2 linked regions of the Rattus norvegicus genome follow. The protein of the gene in region 1 purifies or fractionates together with the protein of each later gene. This does not show direct contact. Links are inferred from orthologs where the notes say so. Each region holds a gene or a part of one and is shown on either strand. Other genes may lie near its edges.

Region 1 (4,607 bases):
AAACCTCTCCCAAAAATAAACTAGGATTCGGGTGCAGCTGAGTGGTAAAGGACTTCCTAGTCTAAGTGAGCTCCTGGATTTGATCTATGACTGAAAAAGGTGAAAGGGCTCCACCTGTCAGTGCCTTGCTAGCTTTGAAGGTGGAAGGAAAAGTTATCGAGTTAATCTGTCTGGTAGCAAGTCCTCAGCTCTGAGAAAGCCCAAACAGAGTTGAAGCTAATCCAGCAATGGTGCCCCACTGTGGATAATGACGATGGTAGGCAGGAGTTTGGACCAAACCAAGGAGTCTGGGAAACGTCTTAGATGTTGGAAAACCATGGAAACCAATCTTTCCCAAGATTCTCCATATACATTCCATAGAGGAATATATACAGTCATTTTAGTACAAGGGGACCTTTGTCGAGCTTCCAGCAGGCAGAGCTGCGGGACATTATCTGTGTTAGCCAAGCAACTGCATTTGTGTAATTTGTTAAATCGGCAATAGAAAACTAACATATGACCTGAGCTACCAGAATTTAAAGCTAACATAAATCACATGTGGACGTTTACTCATGACCAACACTCTCTGGGCTACACCAAACCAGTGTTAACACAAGGTCACGCTAAGGGCAACAGCCCACATTTACTTCCTTGTTTCTTCAGCTGATCATACAATACCTGTTTTTTTTCCCCTTACAAAATTTTTCCTTTATGACCCCAAGAATCCTCAGTATGGTAAGAGACTCATAAACTACCAACATATCTACTCCTATCTGGGTCCCACAGTTTCATTACCTGGCTTCAGTTTCCTCAGTATCCTGGGAAATTGCTTAAGGTGCCAGGCACCACTGCAGTGATTCCGGATCTGACCACAGCTCCATCAGAGCGTCTCTGCTGATCTCTTATTGCCGGGGAAGCCGTTCATGGAAAGCTTCTGACATGTCAAGGCGTTATCTTCTCTTTGAGGTCTCCGTGCTTCCAGATAAAGTGAGAAGAATCGCTTGACTCACTTCATGTTAAATGTCTTTGAAACGGTTTCATAGCAGTGTGTCTCGGGATTAAACACTTTTTAGGTTTTAAAAATGTCCTTTTGATGAAACAACTCTACCACTTGAATTATAATTCCCATCTAAGGTTCAATTGTACATCAAGAGGGCTTAGACAAAGGAGTGTATGATACCTCCCCTTCCCCACACACCTTTCCCCAGGAGAAAGGAGGCTCCAGAACATGTTTCTAAAGCAAGCTTTGTACTAAATATTTGATGACGTACTTCTAGGACTTTATTTTGCATTTATTACTCTTAGGTTTCTCCGTGTTGTGTTGGTGGTTCTTTTGTCTTTGTAGTATACTGTGCCTGGAGTTTTGACAATTTCGAATTCCCAGGAAAACGGCTGATACAGGGTCTACCAGACGGTGGCGCTGTTGGCCTGCACCATGGCTCCGAGCTGCCCTGAAGAGACTTTTGCACAGTTCATTCACCTGGCAATCGCAATCGAAAATGAGCGCGTCGCTTGGCAACAAGTCCAAGTTTTACAGTTTCGGACGAGGTTTCCTGCTGGCTGCTATGTGGTGAGTTCCGGAAACCTCAGCGCCCGCAGATTTCCCTTTGTGGGGCGCCCGCCCCAACTTCATCCTCTGAGGGCAGCCACGCCCCACTAGGCGAAGCTGAGACTGGAAAGCCTAAAGCCTTTCCCTGAGGCTGGCACACCTTGCTGTGCCTCACCTGCCTCTTCCAGTCCCCTGAATGGCCAGCTCCACCTGAAACCAGAGTGACCTGAGGAGGAACAAGGTACCAGCCTGCTTCTTAGGTCAGAGGGAGGGTGAGCCACAGGGGTGAATCTAGGTGGTTTGAAGTTTGGGGAGAAGAATGGAAAGACTAGGGGTGGAATGGCCAGGCTGGCTGGCTGTATGAGAACCGAGGTGCATGATCTTTATTTCTTTGGAGCAAGTGTCTTGTGGCTTTTGATTTCTGTCTTTTTTATTACATGAAAACGTCATTTTTGGCAAGGAGAACAGAAGATGAGATTCTTGGAGAAGGAACATCCAGAACCTAGAGAGTATATAAAGAATGAGGGCCCATTACTTAACTGGGGGTCTGTAGCCCCTCAAATGGGTACCTTGGGTTTAGTACACTCAGCCTGGTAATTAGGCATTCTGGTTCCAGTTACCGTACAAGGCTGCGGATTCTCTATTCTAAATGAGATAATATTTGTATTATCTTATATTTCAAAATTACATGTTGTCCTTTTTTGAGCCAAATCTATCGTCTTTTTATTCTTCTCTTTTTTCTTTCAGTTCCTCAGTCCTTCTCTTTTCTCTTCTTTTCTCTTCTCTTCCCCTCCCCCACCTCTCTCTCTCTCTCTCTCTCTCATTCTGTCTCTCTCTCTCCTCTCTTTCCTGTATTACTTCCTTCTGTAAAGAGTCTTCTCCCATGTGAGTTTCTTCTGTGTATGAGGCTATGCCTTCCCCCCATTGCTTACTAAAAGCCATCAGTGGATGTAGAAAAAAAAAGCCAGGGGCTGCTGGTTTACTGTGGTGGACCTGGGTGGTCACTGGACTTTGCTAACTGCCTGATTTATCACCTTGTCACATTCAGCTTTTCCACTCACAGCCCCTAGAGACTGATCCTTTTTCTGAGTCATCCCAAAGTATTTGTGCTATTTCAAATTATAATCTACTCCCCACCCCCTTGCTTCATTATTGGCACTTAAGAGTAGGATCAATCAGGGTTTGCACAACCAAACCTTTAGTTTCAAGTTGTAGAAACGGCAAGTGCTAAGTACATATGTCTTCAGGACTGTTGCTCCTGCGCTCCATGGGAAGGGTTTATTCTGGGCCTTTTACTGGGTTTGATAGATGGCTGTCTTTATATTGTAATGCCTCCCCCCATGGGCTGGAGAGATGGCTCAGCCATTCAAGGCTAGGCTCACAACCAAAAATATAATGCCTCTGCCCCCTACATTTGTCTGCCTTTGCCTTTCATTTTTTTTTTTTGTAAGTAGAGCAGTTATATTAGGCTTAGAACAATCCTATTTACCTTTTAAAAGATTCTGTCTCTAAATGTCAAATGTGGGCATAGAAGGTGCAATATCAAATACGCATGGAGGCAGGGGGGGAGTCACAATTTAACCCCTGACAATAGTCAGGACCTCTTGTCTCCTGCTGAGTCCTCTTCCCACCTTCTGCACCACTCCCTGTGCTCTCAACATGTTCTGAAGTTGCACGGTCTGTGATTTTACACTTCTCTTCTGTTACACCACGAGCTCTCACCTGTGCTGCAGCTGCTGTAACCAATGAACACACACACACATACACATACACACACACACTATATATATATATATATGTATATATGTACATATATATATATATATATATAACCAAAACTGGTGGCATAAAACACAGTCAAATAAGAGCAGGATGATCTGTTTCTCTTTTCCTGGAGACTCTAAAGGAAAATCAGTTCCCTGTTTTGCTTGTTTCTAGAGTCTCTGGCATATTTCTGAGTCGATGCCCTTTTGTCCACCTTCATACCCCACACTGCCTGGGTTTATTTATTTTTTTCAGTCCTTCACACTGATGCTTTGTCCCCTTCTTGACCATTTAAGGGTATTTGTGACACACCAGACTCACTCTTTCTCTTTATTTGATTAATCCCATCTGCACCATCTGCAATGTTAATTTTAATACTAATAAAATCAACCTATTAATAGGTTCCAGAGATTTGGACATTGTGGGAAGAGGGAGTAATGTTTCATCTTTTTTTTCTTCTCATTGTTGGAGAGTGAACTCAGGGTCCTGTTACCACTATATCCTCAGATCTCTCTCTCTCTCTCTCTCTCTCTCTCTCTCTCTCTCTCTCTCTCTTCCCCCATACACATCTTTTCTTTTACTAACTTTTACATTATGTTTGTGTCTGTGTTAGTTGTATATATGTAGACACATACACCATTCCACATAAGTGCAGCCAAGAGGCATTGATCCTGCAGAAATGGAGTTGGGGGCATCTGTGGACCACTGGAGTCAGGTGTTGGGAACTGAACTGGTGTCCTCTCCAAAAGCAGTGAGCCCTCTTAACCACTGAGCCATCTCTTCAGCCCAATCTTAGCCATTTTTTGTTTTCTACTTTTCAACAGGGTTGTGGTTGTCCAACCTGGCTCTGAACTGACTCTGTGCTTCAGTCAGGTCTTGAACCTTCTATTTTCATGCCTCGACTTTGAGAGTCACTGTTAGTATCCACTTTTTACTCAGAGGTCAATGTTTTGCTTGCTATGTATAGCAAGGTAGTTTAAATACTTTTTATAGAGAAACACACCAGCTTGCTCAAAGATAGAATGAAAAAAAAATGTGTGTTCACCAGCAGCAATTGGGTACCATGATAGTTTCTGTACAAAACTGTTTAAAGAAACTCCTTGGGATGGTGAAATGGATTAGTAAGATACTTGTTACATAGCCCAACAACCTAAGATGAACCCCCAAATCCATTAAAAGTGGAAGGAGAGAAGCAAGTCCTCTGAGATATACACAATGAACTGTGGTATATGCATGTATTTATGCACAGACATCATCCATCTATCTATCTATCTATCTATCTATCTATCTATCTATCTATCATCTATCTATCCAT
Region 2 (4,341 bases), on another chromosome or scaffold:
GCTGGCCAGCACAGACCCCAGCTGTCTACAGATTCATAACCCTGCCCCTGGCAGGGTGATGGGAATCTTCAGGGCCCTGACGGTCCTTAGCAGCCCTGCACACCCAGTGTGTGCATGGGAGTCGCTATGCTCTTCAGGGACGAGGCTGGACTCCCAGTCCACAATCCCAAGGTGCTCAGCCACAGCGAGCACAGTAGGGCCCTCCCTGCCTGCTGTTAGGCAGCGCTGTAGGGGACACACGTGACCTAAGACCAGGAGCAAGCACAAAGACCAGGCTCCATACCCATGTGCCTGCTCCTCAGGCCTCTCCTCTGTAATCTGGTGACAGAGCTGCACCCACAGAGCACCTAGCCCTCCGAGCAGTGACCCGAGGGGATGCAGAGCAGACAGGGAAGGCCCTGGGACTGAAACTAAGACTGCAGTGTGGAGCCAGCCACACTTGACACTGGCACCCACACCTGTCAACTGTGAGGCTCCCCTGGGCAGGAAATGGATTTTTGTATTGGGTGAAATGACGGCTGACCAGCCCAGGCTGAGACCCCAGCAGCCACGCTTGCCAGTCCAACCAAGAGCCAGGAACTGTGTCACCAGCTCTGTCCCACCTACTGGGCATCTAGACTCAAAGGGAGGTAGCCACTGTAAGGGTGGACATAGCCTGGGCTTTCTCTTCCCACCGTGGCCACTTTGGCCAGTGCACAAGTCCTCGCCTGTCACTGAGCTAGAGCCTGGCATCCCACTCAGGCCCTTGGGCACTCCGCCCCCATCTGCCCCTTGGTGCCAAATACACAGGCACTGAACCTGGTCACATCAGCCTGGTGGGGACTGCATGCCATCACCTCCTGCAGACCCTCAATGCCACCATCTAGGGTTCTCAGGGTACCTCCTACCCTGTAAGCAGGGAGTGTCTCATTGTCACCCCAGTCTGGCATCTGGAGCTGTCAGTCCATCTGACCAATAGGAAACCTGCACTGGGTATAGACTACCAGGCTCAGCCACGATCTCCAGATCTTAACCCACCCAAGGGTTCCACTTAGCACCTTCTGGGGCTCAGATCCACTTAGAGCTGGTGTCATTCACCTCCTTGCCCTTTGACGCTGGCCCACATCCTAAGGTCTAAGGCACCATGCTGTGCCACAGTCTATCCCATGTGTGTCCCACGGTCGCCCACTTGTCAGCTGCTTAGCCCAGGTGCTTGGGGCCACATTCTGTGTCTGCCCAGTTTCAGTCTTTGAGACTGTGAAGCCAGCAGAGAGGACACCAAGTCCAAAAGCTCTTCCCTGGGCCTGTCAGAGCTGACACCCAGGCTGGGGTGGGGACAGGGTACAGGGCGGTACAGGCCTAGCAGCCTTGGCTGCCAGGCACGTCCCCTCTATGAAGGTTGGGCGGAAGCTGGGTAGGCAGGAAACACAGCAAAAGGGCTCCCTGAAACCTCGGCAGCCCCAGAAACCAGCTGCTGTATGGCTTGTCTGTCCCGATTAAGAAAAAAGTGTGGGGTCGGGGCTGAGGATTTAGCTCAGTGGTAGAGCGCTTACCTAGGAAGCGCAAGGCCCTGGGTTCGGTCCCCAGCTCCGAAAAAAAGAACCAAAAAAAAAAAAAAAGAAAAAGTGGGGGGTCAACTGTCATCCAACAGACCCTGTCTCTGACAAGGTATCGGGTACCCCAAGCTGAGGGCCACCACTGGGGACTCAGGGTGTGGAAGGCAGGGAGAAAGAAGGGGCAGTGGCAGACTGCAGACTGTGGACTGGAGCCTGAGGGGCTCAACCCCACATCTGTTTCAATCTCATGCTGGAAGTACTTCCATGAATCCCCCAAACTGACAGCTTTGAAACAGTGCTAGGAGCCAGTCCCACATTCACCAAAGCCACCGGAGAAGGCAATGCCCTCCAACATCAGCACACCCACCACCATGCCATGCCCCCAACACCAGATGGCCCAGGCAGCTCCTCTCAGAGAGAAGCCTAGGGACAGAGCCTGGTGGCTATCCCTCTGGAGTAGCCTTTGTTATATTGAGAACTCAGTATCTCTCAGGAGCACACCAGGAAGACACAGCAGAGCAAGTACTGGCTACAGAGGTCCCTGGCCAATGTGGCTGTGACTTTGTGGCTAACCCTAGCGAGGTGACCCCACCAAAGCCACAAAAGATCTGGCAAGAAGTGACAGAGAAGAGCAGGGACACTGGGAGGGCTGGGGACTATCCCCAGGTGAGCTTCAGGGTGTGTTAGGATGGAAATGACAGGCGGGACAGGGCCTCCAGCACAGGGGGTTGTCCACAGTGGAACTTCAGGATGGGATGGAACTGACCACACTGTTCTCAGTGGAGGTGCAGGACAGAATGGGAGTGACAGGTGGGAGGGGGGGACCTCGAGTCCAAGATACTACCTCAAGAAGACACTGGGCTCTGGTCTTGGGTGGAAAAATTTGGGGCCTAGGTTCCCAAGTGGCAGAGTCAGAGGCCAAAGGGCAAGAGGCGGGGCCTGAGAGCTGAGGAAGTGGGGATCAGAGGATGCATCTGTGAGAAGATTGGCATCAGGGTATTCAGGCCAAGTCAGGGGCCAAGTGGTAAAGCTGAGGGGGTGGGCAGGTGGATGACAGCTGGGGTCAGAGGTCAGGGGTCAGAGGTCACCTTGAGCAGAACGAAGAACTCAAAGAGGCGGCGGAAAGCAGGTGGGAAGAGGCGTGAGTAGGTGACGGCCATCTTGAAGAAGAGCGCGTGGAAGAGCCGGTCGCGCACGTTGATGAGCGGGTTGGGGTTGAGATTGGGGCCGCGCGGGCCGCGCACGGGCGCCGCGCCGCCACCCCCGCCGCCGTTGGGCCCGGGCCCTGGGGCTGCCGCGTGCTCCGACATCACCGCCCCGCGTCACCCCGGCGGCCGCCGGCTGCCCCCCCGCCGTGTCCCGGCCGCCGGATCCCCCCCGCCGCCCCCGGCCGCCGCCGCCTGCGCCTGTGCTCGCGTCCGTCCGGCCCGCGACGCCGGCGAGAGCGCCGGGCCAGAGCGCCACCCGTGCGCGGGGCACGCTGGGATCGCCACGGCCGCCCGAGGAGGCCGGGCTTCAGAGCCGGAAGGCTGGCACCACAAGTGGGCGGAGCCTGGTTACTGCTCTCAAACTTCAAACCCGTCGCCCCAGTGCTAAAAGGCCGGAGTAACACGGAGTTCAGTTTATTTTCCTAGTCCTCCTTAAAGCTTTGGTCGGTCTCATTTGCTTTGGGCTTGCAATTTGCGGAGGCTACACGGAGCGGAATAGAGAGGAGCCCGGTTCATTTGCAAAAATTCACTCCCACACACTGTGGCATGGTCTATGGCAGAGTCGTGTGTCACGACTCATTTGCACTGAGCTAAAATAAAAAAAAATCTTTTATATATGTGAGTACACTGTAGCTGCGTTCAGACCAGAAGAGGGCATCAGATCCCATTACAGATGGTTGTGAGCCACCATAATGGATGCTGGAAAATGAACTCAAGACCTCTGGAAGGGCAGTCAGTGCTCTTAGCCATCTCTTCAGACCAAAGCTGTATCTTAAGCATTGAGCTTAGGGGCTGGAGAGATGGCTCAGCCGTTAAAGGTTAGGCTCACAACCAAATATATAAGCATTGAGCTTAGGCACTGAGGCAGTGTCGCGTACAATCCGTTTCGTTTGTGTAGGGAACCAGGTTCGCGGCGGTCGAGCTATGGGGCGTGGTCTCAGAAACAAGCTTAAGCATTTGCAACTAGTGGGCGGGGCGACGTTGCTAGTCTTATCTACACCGGGTTTTCTATTAGCGGAGGATCAGAGGGGGCGGAGACGCATGTAGCAAGGCCTATTTACTATTTACATAGGGCTTCACTACGGCCACAGCCTCACTTAGGGGCGGAGTCCGGTGGGGAGTCATTAGCATAGCCCGTTGAGGAATCATTACCAGCCTTGCCCTGGGAGGCAGAGCTTTCTAGCACTGTTCATTAGGGGCGAAGCTCCATGGGGATAGTTTACCAGCATTCAGTTTGCCCATCGCACCAAGAGCACGGATTCCCCGCCGATCGGGCTGGGCTACCACTGAGGGGCGGAGCCGCGTAGTATCTGTCTAATTTGCATATGGCTTCCCAGAAGGCCTTGCTGGTGCAGCTTCTCCCAGATGGCTACATTAATTAATTTGTAAGCTTTTACGCGCATAGATAATTATGTTCAGCGTCGTTACGAAGGGTGGCCCTTCCTTTTGACGTATAAAGACATCACTTTATATACACAAAAAAGCACAACTACTCTATGTGAAAAGTAATTATATTCCCTGCGCTTAAATATCTGAGGCGACCCACAGACGTTCGTGCTCGCTTCGGCAGCACATATACTAAAATTGGAACGATACAG

The links.
Region 2: the proteins of Styk1 (region 1) and Tmem259 purify together in Homo sapiens (affinity purification with mass spectrometry; 3 studies listed by BioGRID and IntAct, with this or other methods). This does not show direct contact. The link is inferred for Rattus norvegicus from reciprocal best matches to the Homo sapiens genes STYK1 and TMEM259.

Annotation. Positions count from the first base shown.
Region 1 is NC_086022.1:166,824,803-166,829,409, reverse strand, and holds the start of Styk1 (tyrosine-protein kinase STYK1), read left to right. Parts: upstream 1-1,671; 5' UTR 1,672-1,769; intron 1,770-4,607. UniProt on the Homo sapiens protein: Probable tyrosine protein-kinase, which has strong transforming capabilities on a variety of cell lines. When overexpressed, it can also induce tumor cell invasion as well as metastasis in distant organs.
Region 2 is NC_086025.1:10,373,436-10,377,776, reverse strand, and holds the start of Tmem259 (membralin), read right to left. Parts: upstream 2,874-4,341; 5' UTR 2,846-2,873; coding exon 2,624-2,845; intron 1-2,623. UniProt on the Homo sapiens protein: May have a role in the ERAD pathway required for clearance of misfolded proteins in the endoplasmic reticulum (ER). Promotes survival of motor neurons, probably by protecting against ER stress.